2 linked regions of the Alligator mississippiensis genome follow. The protein of the gene in region 1 interacts with the protein of each later gene in a biochemical or structural test. Links are inferred from orthologs where the notes say so. Each region holds a gene or a part of one and is shown on either strand. Other genes may lie near its edges.

Region 1 (7,568 bases):
TGAGAATTTTTACATTTGAGTAGTTTTCAGATAGTGGTTATGTCCTTATAGCTAAAGGTACTGAAAAATATGTTACTGTATTTTAATGTTAGTTAATGAAGAAGCATCAGATATATGTTTATAAAGCTGTTTGCTTCTTGCATGAAGGATATTGCAGAAGTTCAGTGTGCTGTTATTTCTTAGTTCCTGCCATAAAACATAAGGCCATAATGACAGTTCTTATTCATGATCGATATATACTCATGTACATGCATGTGCATGCACACACACAGACGCAAATACAGTAAGCCCTAATGTATGCCTGAGAACAGGTACAGTATACTGGAGGTATGGTTAAAACCAGCCAGATGCTGCAAACATATAATGTCTCCATTAGAGTGTATAAGGTACAACTGGCTTCACAAGTTTTTGTAACTGAAACAGCTGCTTATTACTCTTAGATCAAATAGTCGTATCTGAAGTCTACTTTTTAATAAAGGAGATTGCTCTAAAAAATTTATAGTGAAAAATATTTTTAGAGCAGGTCATCAAGCTGAAAAGAATTGCAATTTAAAAAACATACAAGAATGTGAAATGAGAGACAGAATACATAGGAAAGAACTTGTGGTGCTGAGGGTACTTGTGGAATCACCTTGTTCATGCTTGTAAAAAGAAGTGAAAATATAACTTAGACATGAAAACCCTATAAATACACAAATAATTTTCTCATGTTTTCTAACATGTAGACAGTGACATTTTCATTTTGTATCAGACTTATTCTTCCAGTTATAGCAGAATGGTCCCTATTTATTTCAGTTAAGTCTAAATATTTCTTCTTACTAATTAGAAGCCAGACACTTCAAACTTTCTTTATTAGAGTTGTAGAGGAGCCACGCGTGACTATCATCTATGTAGGCAAAACTTCAGTTAAATCAATGCCTCAATAAATAAGAAATGTCACTGTGATTTTTGTTCGAGTAAGGGCTACAATACTAGGTTATTTGCTTCTCTGTAAAGGGACCTTCCACACAGTGGGTACAATTGTGCTGAGTCAAGGATGTAATTTTGGATTTGTTCATGTAATCCTGACAAAAAAAAAATTGGAATAAGATTTAGTGTATATATACATATTTCTGTGAAATCACTGATCTTTCCAAACATGTCCCAAGTATACTGTATTCTGACAGGTTTCCATATGGCCCTACTTATTCTGATTGAAAAGGTAGTTTGAAAGCTGTTCATAGTTTCATAATAGAGACCCTACAAAAAAAAATAAAAGTGAGACCCTCAAAGTAGTCAGGGGGGCCCTTTGCATAGCTCATGTAGAAAAAAAATACTATCCCTTTTTGCATTTGATTTCAGATATGGACTTTCTTTTTGTATCTTGAACTGTATTGTAGATTTGTTTACCATGTATGAAATTTCATTAATCATCAAGGTGATTAAACAGATAGTTATGCAAAAATCAACAGTATCTTCAACTCATTTCAAATATAGTCAAATAGAAAGATCAAATATGTGCTTCAGACACTTAAAAAGATGATGCATTTTGATTTTTGTCTGCATTAGTAATAAGAAGGCATGTTTTGTTTTTTACTTTTGTAATGTGTATGTTAAAATGACTCCAATTTGATCAAATATGAGTTTATACTTCAGAAATATTAAGCTCAGTACAATAACTTTCCAGTAAGTGCTTACAATTCTGGGAATCAATTCAAAAGTAACTTCTATGAATTTATATTTTTTTAAAGAGCAATCCAAAAGTAGTCTGATTTGAAGCTGTCAAAAGCAGTTTTGAACTCAGAAGTGAATTAACACAATGAAAAGTCCCTGAAGCAAATATTGAAAAACTACCCTGGTTGCTGGTAAGAAAACAATGATTTTACATTATCCATATGTGATGGATAGAAATGTCCTTTATCTGTGCCGGGGCATTGATCACACATTTAACTTTGGTTGAAAACCTTCTACATGAAAAACCAAAAAATAACTGCCAACAGTATGATACAATCAGGTGGACTGATTTAAAAAAAAAAAGTTGAAGTGTGGGCTAGATTCTTACAGTAAATACTAATTCTTCCACCCTACTTGTGTGAATTTGTATCTAACTTGGTAAATAGTGCCATTTCAACTGTCTGATGGAAAGTCTACGTAAGCAAACAGAACACAGCCCTATATAAATATATATTGAATATGGAAAATAAATGGATCAGTCCATAAGTGTCATTATTTGTAACTATTTCTGCTGATTGTACCAAAAATACATTTTCCAAGCTATGTTTCCAAGCTATTCATGTCTTGCTTTTAAACATATGAAATAATTGTTCATATGCACAATCATTCCATGACTTGTCCAAGATTCCTTATTTTGTAGGTCTCTTGTCTGGGCAAGATATTCCCTCAGGTTAAGAATGAAAGAGGTGTATACTACAGACATACTTGATTGAAATAGCTGCTAAATTGCTGCAGTAATGAGAAAATTCCCTTTCCCTGGATAATTCAGCTGCTTCGCATTGAAGCATTTTTCAGATAAAGAAGTTCAGTGAAATTAAAAATTAAAGAGAATTTCTTTCAAATCACATATTGCCAGTTACATACCCCTACTCCCATTGAATTCAGCAGCAAAACTCTTATGCATTTGAATGGAAACATGGTGAGGCCATAAAATCAGTTTTTGCTATAAAATAAGAGACTGGTTTATACACGCATTTGGATGTGCAAATGCTGATGTACATCTGAAAAAAATGTGGTTAAAAAAAAACACATGATGATGATGAAGTTCACCTAAATCTTTCATTGGCTTAGAAAATAGGTCAAGTCATTGCTTGCTAGCTCTCTGCTGGTAGCCAGTGCAGTCTCTCTATTCCAGAGTAGAAGAGATTTTGCTTGATATTGGAACATCAACTTTCATTCATAAGGTCTGTTGATTGCAAAGCTTGGCTTTCAGCAGTTTTTAACTGAAATTCATGTATTATTTGTGTAATTACATTATTGCCTGTGTCTTTTCATTTAAGACTGTACTATAACATACTCACAGCTGTTTTGAACTTTTAAATGTTTTAGTATGCTTTATTTCTAGAATTTTTTAATGCTTTCTTGATGGCCACTTGTTTGTATGCAGTTGCGAATATATATACACACATTTCTCAGTTAATATTTAAGAAAGGATAAAGTAAGCATTACTAACTGTTGCTTAGAATTCAGTTGCTGCATACATAAAGCTCTGTATTTATCAACTCATTTGTTATGTTTGTGGGATGTTTTAATGCAGGCATTGCATCTATGAATGAGATGTGACCAAGCTCGCACAATTTTGTGTATATGCAAAAAAATGCGGCAGCATATCTACAGCCTTCCAACTTTTTTTTTTTTTTGATAGAACGGCATTAAAGTTCTTGTTTTAAGAGAAATCGGGTATTAGATCGCAGTTCCTCAGGACAATTATTAGGTTTTCTTCATATAGGTGGAGATAGCTATTAGTAAAGTAGGGCTGTGATCCTGTTTGGGGCCTCCCTCTGTTACAATGATATTTCCCTCTCATAATCATTATTTAATATTAATTGATATAGGTGTAAATAACATAGCTTTGGTAAGACACTAGGTCTAATTGGGAAGGCACTTCTCTGTGCGCAAATGGGGGAAGCCACAGTGAAGAAGTGTGTGCACATTGGTGAGGAAGCATAAAGCAGCATGTAAGTTTGGGAACTTGAGTAGACAGGAATAAATGTTAAGTCTTTGCATTATCCATAAGAATTAAACTGAAGGCTTTGCTCAGACTAAGCTTGGTGAAGTTAGAACTGGAAGCTGCAAATCCAAGGATATTAACACAAGTTTTGTACCATGGTGGAAATCAGCAGGAATTGGGGAAAGGATGACTGCTTCCCTGCCTCCTTCACTGACTTATGAAAATGTAGCGAGCCCTGCAATATTTTTGCTTTTCTTCACCCCACCAGCTCCTATTGTATGGGTTTATGAGGCGTTTGGCTTTCTCGCTTTAAAAATAAGTTTCTGGCTTTTGTGCTTCATACCAATATGAGCCTTAAAATGAAAACAACAAACAAGCAACCCCTCCCCCCCACCAAAAAATAAAAAAATCAAAGGACAAAGATAAAGAACCTGATATATACAACTCTCCCTGTCTAATTACTTATCTACTTTACTTTGCTTCGTTTCTTTTTCTTCCTTCTACCTACTTTTCTTTCTGTCTCTTTTCTTCTTTCTTTTTTTGTCTTCCTCTTTTTCTCTTTCTTTCCTTCTCTCTCTCTTTTCCTGTTTCTTTCTCTCTCTCTTTTCTTTCCGTTGCCTGTCCGTCTTTCCTTCCTCCTAGCTATCTATCTGCCCTATGAAATCATCTCTCTCATGTCACGATTTTGAAGGCACCCTCTGCCGGGGGGGGGCCGGCCCTGCCGCCCACTCGTAGTCGAGAGAGCCAAAGGCGCCTGCCCCCGCCTGCCTCCCCGGCGCTGCCCGGGGCACCTATCCGCCCCCGTGGTCCCGGGCGGCGCTGGGGGCGGGGCGGGGCGGGGCGGGGCAGGAGGCGAGGGGCGGGGCCGGAGGCGGGGCCAGGGCTGCGGGTGCAGCGGCGGAGGCAGCAGCAGCAGGAGCAGGCAGGCGGGCTGCTCGTGGGCATTGCAGCACAGCTCGGCAGCCGGGGCGCGGAGGCGGCGGCGCGGGGGACGCGCCCAGGCTCGCGAGGCCGGGGGCAGGCTGCGCCCCTTGGAGCGCGGACCTAGCCCTTCCTCCCTCCCCTCGCCCGCAGCTCCTGTTCCTGCTCCGGCCCGGCCTGCGGAGGCTTGGGGCGCCGCTCGCTGCACTAGAACTAATCGCGGGGGAGGTGCGCGGGCGGCGCGGGGCGGGGCGGGGCGGAGCGGGCGATCGTCAGTCAGTCCGTCTGTCTGTCTGCGCGGGGCCGGGCCGGGGCCTCCCGCGGCCGCAGGAGCCGCCGCTGCAGCAGCCGAGCCCGGGCGGTGAGTGCCTACGCCGGGGCCACGCGGGGAGGGAGGGCGGGCGGGGCGAGAGGGCTGCCAAGTTTGCCCTCCCGGCTGGGGCAGGGTCCTTCCCGGAGGCACAGAGATCCCGCCCGCCCGCCCGCCTGCCTGCAGCCCCTCCGGCTCCCCCCGCTGCTGAGCTGGGCTCCCCGCTTCATCCCCTCTCCCCTGCTGTGGGGCTGGGAGACGCGTTCCCTCCTCCCCCCTTCCCCTTCTCCTTTCTCTTCCCAAACGTGCCTTCTCATCACTTTAAGTTCCCCAATGTGCAGCCCCCCCGGGGAGGGGGGCGGCTTCCTTCCCTCTGAAGCAGAAGGTTGGGACTTCAAGACATGCAGAAATCTACAACTCCCAGTTCGGAGACCATACCTCTTATTAGGCTAACTAGGAGATTGCCAAAATATGTATATCTTTTTGTAAGCTTTTGGGCTTGGGTGCCCTTCTGCAGGCTCAGGGTAAATTAAAGATGGTTCAGAGTCCCTGTAGGTAGGAAATAAACTTCATTTTGGCACAGAGGGAGCTGGAGATGGAAAATCAGTCCCTCTGGGTCCATGAGGGTGTCTTGGTGAGTTGTTTGAGAGGCATTTTGGTACCAGAGAATCACAGCGGAGCAGGGTGGGGTGAGGGGGGCATCTAGTGCAACCCCCTGCTCCAAGCAGGACCATCCCCAAGCTGATCAGCCCAGCCAAGGCTTTGTCTAGCTGGGACTTAAAAGCCTCTGAGGATGGAGATGCCACAGTCTTTCTGGGTAACCTGTTCCCATGCTTTACTGCCCTCCTAGTGAGAGAGTTTTTCCTCCTATCTAACCTAAACTTCCCTTGCTGGAACTTGAGACCATTGCTGCTGTCCCCAAAACCCTTCAAGGGTGACTCATCTCCCCCTCCCCCCCCCCCCCCAACCTTTGAGGGCTTATTTTTCTTTGCTCCTGGTAGGAGTTTGAACAGCACAAGCTACAGCCATGTACTTTTGGGGTTGAGGGCAAGTTGGTAGGATTTTTTTAAAAAAAAGGCTTTTGTGAGGACAGACACTTTGCTTTTTTTGTTGGCGGGGGTTACTTTTGAGTCTTTCTTTTTAGTTTAAAGTAACCATGAAAGGCTGGGAGGGCTGGACACATGTTGACAGTCTCTCAGAGCTATGGAGTTGGTGGCTTTAGGAGTGACTCGGTGCAAGGGGGGGGGGGGGGTACGGTTGGCCCATGCTGTTGGTGGGTGGAAGAGTGAGTTGATTGAACAGTATCTTTTTTCTGCCCCCACCCCTTCAGGAGTTGTGCCTGAATTGGTAGATTGTAGTAATGTTTTGAGAGCATATGTCTGCTGGGCGTTGGGTTGGGACCTCCCAGGCCACTTGGAATTGAACCGAGTCATGACAGGGGACGTTTTCAGATAAGGGATGGAGTTTGTTTATAAAAAGAGCAATCTAATCTACTAAATTTCTTGTGAGGAAAAAATAGCCTCCCTTCTGAAATGAGGCCATCTGCGCTCGCTTCCTAGTGGGTGGTACCAAGCCTGTGTCTTCATTGTTCAATTCTGAATTGCTGTTTATGGGACTTGGCACTGGAGTGCCATGTGCACACGCACACCTTCCCCCAGAGGACAAACAAAAGTTTTCTGATGTGAGAATGGCCTGCTTCTGTGGCATGTGAGAATCATCATATGGTTTTATGGCATCTGAGGAAGGGTTTCTGCAAGGGGAACAGGAATTGACCTGTCATGGTGAGCTCTCATATAGCGCACCTAAAATTTAGTACAGATATGGGTTTTCTGCTGCTGGCGCAATTTCTTTGCTCTTAAACTTCTGGTGGAGGAATCTTACTCTTTTAACCTGTCCCCATTCCCTTATGAGCGGGAACAAATACTGACTTTGAAGCAGTAGAACCAGTGGATGATGCATTTAGTATTACATATGTATGTGCAAAGGTTGTACAAGGGATTAGTGATTGTGCATTAGAAGGTGAATGGGCACCTGTCCTTCTTTTGGACTGGCCAGTTCTCCTGGATTGTTATCTGTTGGAGGTGAGATCACCTCACTTGGTCTCTTTAGATCACGAATGTGTTGAATATCAAGGGCTGTCAAATGTCCAGTGTAACCAAACTGGATAATTGTACTCCTAATGCTAAGGATGACTTGTACCTGTAGTAGGTAAATAGATTTTCAGATGAAAATGAAGTTTCTTTTTCTAGTTGCCAGGTGCTCCTTAAAAAAAAAAAAAAAAAAAATAAAGGCAGAAGTTGAAGAATAAGAGGTTTGGGGTTATTATGATAATAAAAACCATACTGTTTGAAGAAGCAGAAATGTTTTCATATGGTAAACTTCAGTGGCTGATTTGAATGTTAAATATACCACCTGCGGTATTTGTCAGCTGTTTTTTCTCTTGAATCTGTCATTCTGTACAAGACACCAAGAGGAAAAAAATGATAAAAAAGCAATGGTTCACTAAAGGTTGTCACAGAGTTCAAACCTGAGTGAACTGCAGTGCTGATCTTACTTGCTTGTAGTTTTTGCTTCATCTGAGCTTTGTTAAAAAAGACACAGGCCTGCTTGGTTATGGCTTATCACACTGCCCTTCCAGGGGGAATTCTTCTTCCTTATTTGTAAGTAGGTAAT
Region 2 (7,696 bases), on another chromosome or scaffold:
CAGCATAACAACAACTATACTAAGCAACAGCTTAGAAATAGACCCCTTCATCATTAGAACTGGAGTCAAGTAAGGATGTGTGATGATTACACCAACGCTCTTCCATCTCTATCGCTGCTTTTCTACATATTGTTGTTGATAGACTTCCAAATGGTCTGAGAATCCAAGGGAATCTCCTTAACATCAACTAGTTACATTCCAAATCCAAGATAACCAACACCTCTCTTGTTATCTGTCTGATCTCCTGGCTTCCTGACAGTCTGTTTCTAGACTCTGTTCAATATGCTGCTGACTGCTTCAACTGAAGAGCTCTGGGTCACCCTTGATTATTTCTGTGAAGCACATGAAATGCTAGTCACACACTGTCAACTTCACAAAAATCAAGGTCCTTTACTAACCCACCCCAAGCCAACCCAGGTGCTCCTCCACATATTACAATTAGGGGGTAGTTTTGGGAGAATCTTGAGCATTTCCCCTATGTGGCGTACCTACCTGCAGCAGGGATGCTGCCACGAGATGAGACTCACCTCCAGCGCCAGAGCAGAGGGAAAAGCAATGGCCGCCAAATGCCGCTGAAGACCAAAGGTGCTGCGGTGTGAACATTTCCACAAGAGGAAAAGCATAGGTGGCACAGGGGCAACAGGAAAAGCAGCAGCAGCAGAATGCCACTGAGGACCAAAAGCACCTAAACACACATTCCAGCGTGGGCATGCTTTATGGACTCTTGCTGCCAATGATTCACTGGCCTTCCGAGAGAGGGATAAAATCCATACCAGCCAATGTCCAGGGAGGACCAGAAGTGAGGCCTCCTGAGAGCCAGGAGCAGCAAGAAGTGAATGGATGCCCCGGTAGGGGCCAGTGATGGCAAACCCAAGAGTTGGGGTGCCCAGCTAAGGCTGGCTCAGAGGAGCCAGGATACATACCTCTCATGAAGCCATAGTTCCCAGACAATGCTGATAGAGACTGGGACAGCAGCAAGCCTCCGGAGAGAGGAAAAGAAGGATATTAAAAGCTGTAAGGAATGCCTGGGGAGGGAGTGAGCCCTCAGGGAAGGCACCCCGGGGTATATGCAGCGACAAGTCAGGCTGACGTGACACCTTGACAAGGACAGTAAGCCATCTGAACTGGGACTGAAATTAAACAGGGGCTAATGCCTAGCCATGGCTGACAGTGAGTTAGCCTCGGCCAAGACCTAACATCATCTGTGGTTGGCGTAAGGAAGGGTGTAGGGGAGGTGGAGGCCCAAGACAAAGACCTGTGCGAGAGACCTAAGAGGGAACCAGGAGAGGCAGGACTTCAGAACTTCCTCCCAGCAATAATCTTTACAATCAAGTTGTGGCAGGCGAGAACCCATGGGGACCTTAAGGACTCCCATTGGAAAGCAAGCTGCTGACCCACAAGGGGACAGCAGCACTCAATTGCCCCGAAAAGTCAAAATGCTCAAGTAAATGCCATGGTAAACTACACCACCTTTTCCAAAAAAGTAAATATAGATGACAGTATTCAGCACCAGATAAAATCTGCCAGTGCTACCTTTTGGATGTCTCCAGAACCATGTATTCAGGACCCAAACTAAACTTCTCATCTACCAAGGTGTTGTCATCCTTACCATGTTGTATGGGTGTGAACCTTGGATGACATATCAGAACCACCTGAAAGCTTTGGAATATTGGCATCAGCAATGCCTTAGGACAGTGGTTCCCAACCTTTTTTTCCTGTAGACTGGCACAGGAGCAGGACAGGGCACATGGAGCCGGCTGCCTCCTTCCCGGGGCTGCCCCAGCCCCCAGCTTTAACTCTGTTCACCTTGGAAGCTGCTCACTCGGGCAGAAAGATTGGGGTCTGAGCAAGGGGCTTGTGCTACAACCCAGCAACCAACCCTTCGCAGCCCAATGGTTGGGAATCTCTGCCTTGGGAAAATACCCACTATTAACTGGAAGGACAGAAGAACAAACACCAGCATTCTGGCTCAAGAAATACCACCAGCATTGAAGCCATGTTTATAGGTCCTTTGGACAGGACATGTTATCAGGATGCCTGACAACCAGCTCCCAAAACAGTTCCTATACTCCCAACGCACCAATGGTCACCAGTCCAGAGGTGGGCAAAAGAAAAGCTTCAATGACACCTTGAAAGCCAATCTAAGGAAGTATATTAACATCTATATGTGGGAGATTCAAGCACTGAATCATCTCCAATAGCACCATGATGTGCAACAAGGCATTAATCATTTTGAGCAAATTAACATCACTATGGCGGCAGATAGACAAGAGAGAGAAAAGAAGCTGTGACCTGACATCTCTAGTATCTACTGCTTTGCCTGGAACTATTTGCCATGTCTGCAGTCAAACATGCAGATCTTGGATTGGCCTCCTCAGTCACAGACTCATTGATGACTTTGCTATTTACTGGAAGGCTGTCATCCTCATATTGAAGACTGTCACTGCCAATTGACCCATGTTTTGGTTGTTTGAAATAGAGGGCACTTAGATGTGCAGTGGGGCTGGTTCAACACACAGTAATTAATCCTGTAATTACTGCACTCCAGCAGACCCCAGTGTCACATGCATCAGTGTCCCCACACTGAAAAATAGCAGCAGGGGCACCTTAACTAAAGTTTGCTCAATGAGCTTTAGTTAAAGAGCCCCTGCTGCCACTTTTTAAGTGCAGGGACGCTGATACACATGATGCTCCAGGCATTTTAATCAGACCAACTCAGAGCTGCTCTAATTAAAACCTTCCACCCCACCCCATGCACACTCCTGGACCATGTCTATAAATGCCCAGAAAGTCCTCAACATGAACTAATTTTGAAGAAGCACTGGGCCACCTTTATGAAAGAGAACAGACATGCACTGTGAAAGAGTTAAAGGTGTTTACTGTCCATATATTATTAGTACTTGAACCCTGTCCATCTCAACAACAGAGTACGACTGACATGTGAGGGGTCTGGAAGTCAGGTGCAATTTGGGTGTATCGCTCAAAGAAAGGACTCAAAAAATTATGTTATATCTGATAACTACAAATAGTACTATTATAATGGATATGGCCATAGAGCAAGAATAAGGTACATATTTGTTTGTTCCTTCACCAACAGAAATCTACGCTGTCATACACCTGTTGTACTTTTAGTCTTTGAAAGAGATGAAGCAGGAGGTCATTTCTGCTCATTCCTTTCACTGAGTTTAGGTCTCCTGATTCTAGCTCTATGTTTCAATAAGGCTCTTGTACCCTTTTTGGCAGCCTCTTGGAGAACACTCTTTGCACTGGATTTCCTAAGCCAGTGTAGAAGTGGATGACTGAAAACTTGTCTTAGCCCTAGTTCCCCTCTTGGGATGCTTGTTTTTAGAAAGGAAACCAGAGCATAGTGTGATGTAGGGCTGGTGGGAGTGGTGAAGAGCATGAAACAAGTTGAGGTTGAAGGTAATTAAGTTTATGTGGTAGATGGAGCGTTCAGAGGACAGCAGTAGTTTTAGTCATGGGTGAAAGAGCAAAGGACGCTAGAGGTTGAAGAAGAGAAGTAAAGAGATCACAGTACATCTCCATAGTCATCTTCTTAAAAAACCTTGACAAGATCTCATGTGGAGGCAACAGGATGAAAAGGAGAGGTTATGAGTCAAGAGTGGAAGACTATAGGCAGCATCAATCACAGACTTGGTTCAAATTCAGAGAACCTATAGGTTTTCTTGTCCAGGAAAATGTCAAAATTAAGAGTGGCATAGTACTAGATGCTTTTCAATACATTCTGGAAAGCTTTATTTACTACTTCATTTATTTTTGAAACATAACAAATGTACTCCATCTACTTTGGAGTTTACTGCCATTTTCACTGTTAGTGTGTAGTAGCTTTGCGGTACACAGCACGGGGAAAGCTTGAGAGAGAAACAGTTGAGCCAGCCAAATAAGGCTTATAATTAGACAAGGTGTGGCCTGCTTTGATTACAAGTTCCTTGGTACCTTCTTTTACGTTTTCAGTCCAGGACCCAGCATACTCATCAAAGGTTGTACTGGGGTGTTCAGAGCACCAGCTCTGAGGAAGCCATCACGTTGCTGGAGAACAACTGTGCTAGTTTCTCTCAGTTGTGCCATCCCCTTCACTCTGCTCCATCCGGGCTGTCTGATTTGCCTAATCTCTGTACTGTTATTTCTCAGCGACTGCTTCTATGGTAATGCCGTACTCCACCTAACTACTCATCCCGGTATTGTTTTGAAGAGACCTAGAGTGAATATGCAAAGCCGTGCTGCTGGCTGGTGAAACACCTTTCCTTCGCCTGCTCCTGTGGTCTGCTCCGAGCCGTGTGCCAGGACCAAGGACACTGCCTCCGGCTTCCTTCGCCTTCACCCACAGCAGCCCTCTGGGCCGCGGGGAGGCCGGTCGGGGCCGAAACGAGAGGCACCTGAGCGGCCCGGGAGCGGAGGCAGGGCGGGGGAGCCCCGGGGCGAGGAGAAGCGAGGGTTGGGTGTGAGCGCCAGCACGTGCCCCCGGCCGGGGCGGCCCCAGGGCGGGGGCCGGCTCGTCCTACCCCCGGCTCTCACACCTTGCCCGCGGCCCGCAGCGTCCTCCCCAACATGGCGCCGCCGCCGCCCCGCGGGGGCCTCCTCAGCGGGGGCGGGGCAGCCGCCGGCGGGGCGGGGCGGGGCGAGACGAGACGAGGCGGCGGTTGCAGCGGGGGCTGCCGGCGGAGGGGAGTGCGGCGGGGCAGTGCCAGGCGGCGGCGGGGAGATCGCTCCCTCCCTCCGCGCGGGCAGGAGGCGCCGGGAAGCCCCGGCCGCCCCCGCACCTGCGCCCGGGGGAGCAGCCGCGGGTCACCTGCGCGCCCTCCTGGGGCCGCCGCGGCTCAGAGCGGGTCGGGCGCTGTGCGAGGCGGCGGCCGGGCCGGGCGGCGGCAGCAGCAGCAACATGAACCCCAATGTCACCTACGCCAGTCGGAAGCGGCGGAAGCCCGTGCAGAAGATGTAAGCCCGGGCGGGGTGGGGGCGGGTCTCGTCTCGGAGCAGGTGAGTCCGAGCAGCCCCCGGGCGGGGGGCGCTCGTCGCTCCGGCCGCCCAGCGGCGGCCCCCGGCGGGCGGGCGGGCGAGCGAGCCCGCGCTGCTGACCCGGGCGAGGCGGCGGCCGGCGGTGACCTAGTCTCAGGAGGCATCTAAGGTGACGGGCGGGCGGCCGCCTCGGGCCGGGATCGCTCCGCTCCGCCCCGCCCCGCCCCGCCGCACTCGGCGCGAGCCCGGGCCACGCCGGGGAGGCGGCAGTGCCCGGGGCTCGGGCCCGAGGGCGGATGGGCTCCCCTGCACCCCGGCGGGTTTCCAGAGTGACCCGCTTCCATGTGCCCCCCCACCCCGGTGCGTGCGGCGGGGCAGCTGCGCTTCGCCAGGCGCTGCCACGTCTGACCACGAGACACGTGTCGCTTGGCAGCTCCTGGGCCTGATCCCGACTGTGCCAGAGCCCCCGCCGCGTGGCGATCCTTGCTCCGCTGGGAATGGGCCTTAGGCTTGACTGGCCTGGCATCAGGGTTACTCGCATTTCTGTGACCGTCTATGCTAAGGGTTCCCCACCTTCTTTTGCACCAGGACCCGTTTGTAAACGCCGATTGGCAGTCCCGACCCGCTGCACCCGTGCCCCAGCCACTGGGGCAGGGTGGGCCCAAGCAGCCGCTCACAAGCTGGAAGTCTGCCAGCCTGCAAGAGCAGCCCCACAGTTTCCCATGTTTTTCTCCTATAAAGGAGAACGCATTTTTGACGTTTGTTTGCAGCCCTTTCATATACTTTTGCAGCCCACTTTTGGGTCACAACCCACAGGTTGAGAAATGCCGGTCTAGAGGAAGAAGATAGGTTTTGACATTTAGGTGTCAGGCATCTAGATGACTGGCTTTCGTAAAGAAGTAGAATACAAGACTGTAAGGAAGAAAAAGAGGACCCCCCCCCCCCCCCCCCATGATTCAAAGCCAAAGCAAGGTTCTTATTCTTGTTAATCGCGTGCATTTGTGCAGATAGCATTGCTGGAGTACATCTGCTACACTGAAATCCCTTCCAAAACGTAAGCAAAGGAGGAAAAGGAGTATTTGGGAGACTAGCTGAGTAAGCAGTATTCTTTTATTCAGCACAGCTTACAGCTCTTATTTTGGATTGCTGCTTTGGGCTAGGATGGCTGTTGCTATTACGGTTTGGGGGGGGAGGGGGTTGTTGTTTGCTTTTCAAAAGGAGATTTCTCTTTAAATGAAGGTGCTGTGTTATAGACTTTAAATAAAGAATTAAAAGCTCTGAAAAATTCTTGACTTGGGCAAACAGCAGCAGCCAGGCAGAAAGTGTGGCAATTATAGAAATAAATTGGGGGTGGTCATGCTTTGAGCTGGAGTCGGACTAGATAAACTTTTCTCCACATGTGAGTTGTGACCCAAAAATGGGTTGCAAGAATATACGAAATGGTTGCAAATAAACTTTACAATGGATCAACAAACTTTAAAAATGAATTCTCCTTTAAAGGAGAAAACTAGGAAACCGTGGCTTTTCCCCTGCAGGCTGGCAGAGTTCCATCCTGCATGGGGTTGCTTGGGACCCCCTTGTCCCAAACTGAGGGCCTGCGGGCGCGCAGTGGGTCGGGAGTGAGGGGCACTGGATTCGGACTTGCCATCAATGTTTACAAATGGGTCCCTTACAAAAAAGGTTGAGAACCACTGGACTAAGTGACCTCCTGAGGTCCCTTGCAACCCTAATGTTTTACGATTCTGTGATACTGTAAATAGGCCTATCTACTGTTGAGCTAAAATAGAGAGGTTGAGGTGTTAAAGCAATTCAGCAGTATAAATTTACATTTTATAAAGAAAATAGTAACTCTGTTGCTCTGCATGCAAGTGTATACACTCTACCACCTGTCCAGCTAATAACAACTTTCCAAGTCTATAATTTCTTTGGCTAAAACTTATTCAAAATTGTGGCAATATTTGCTTTTTCTGGTCAGAGAACTTCATGATTTGCTTACTAATAAATTCACTTTGATTACCAGATGTGCAAACTATTTTTATTTTGAGCTATTGATTGTTGTATAACAACTCACTGTTACTATTTTATATTTCTTATTTCAATTGGCTGAACTTCTCTTATTTGTTGAACCTGAAGAATATTTCCTTTTTTCATGAATGGAAACCAATCAACAACATTTTAGGGCTAAAGGGAAAATAAACATTTCTTCTTAAAGTAAATGTTTTTGGTTTGAATGTATCCTATATAGTTGGTGTTTTACCTACCTTATGGAGGAGGAAAAAAATGTTATTATATTACGTAGTGCCCTGTTTGATTGACAGACAACTTGTGCAACATAATTATTTTTTGTTCAGTGTATCATTTATTATCCTCCTCTTACTTACGCTGAATGGTCCTTGATTATTTTTTTATTTTTTTTTTTTGCATTTGTCCTCTTAGATGTTTCCTAAAGCTGCTCTACAGGCCCCAAAGGGTTTGATTTCTTCAATTAAAAACTAATCATAGTACATATCTTCGGGCAAAAAAGTTGAGTCAGTCAGAGAAGCAAACAGTTGTCAGAGCTGATTTAAGAGAGTTGGTTTTTGGTTACAGTCTATTGTTGGGTAGTAAAGCTTTTACATGTTTGTAAAAAGATTTGTGTGCTGTCTATGCCTTCCTAAAACCAAGGTGTCCCACCAGTGGGATGCAATTAGCCTAGCATCAACTTAATTCCGAATTCAGA

Evidence for each region.
Region 2: the proteins of NRIP1 (region 1) and AHR form a complex in vitro, tested with the Homo sapiens proteins (2 studies listed by BioGRID). The link is inferred for Alligator mississippiensis from reciprocal best matches to the Homo sapiens genes NRIP1 and AHR.

Annotation. Positions count from the first base shown.
Region 1 is NC_081824.1:278,940,129-278,947,696, reverse strand, and holds the start of NRIP1 (nuclear receptor-interacting protein 1), read left to right. Parts: upstream 1-4,568; 5' UTR 4,569-4,946; intron 4,947-7,568. UniProt on the Homo sapiens protein: Modulates transcriptional activation by steroid receptors such as NR3C1, NR3C2 and ESR1. Also modulates transcriptional repression by nuclear hormone receptors.
Region 2 is NC_081828.1:163,341,857-163,349,552, reverse strand, and holds the start of AHR (aryl hydrocarbon receptor), read left to right. Parts: upstream 1-4,693; 5' UTR 4,694-4,900; coding exon 4,901-4,956; intron 4,957-7,696. UniProt on the Homo sapiens protein: Ligand-activated transcription factor that enables cells to adapt to changing conditions by sensing compounds from the environment, diet, microbiome and cellular metabolism, and which plays important roles in development, immunity and cancer.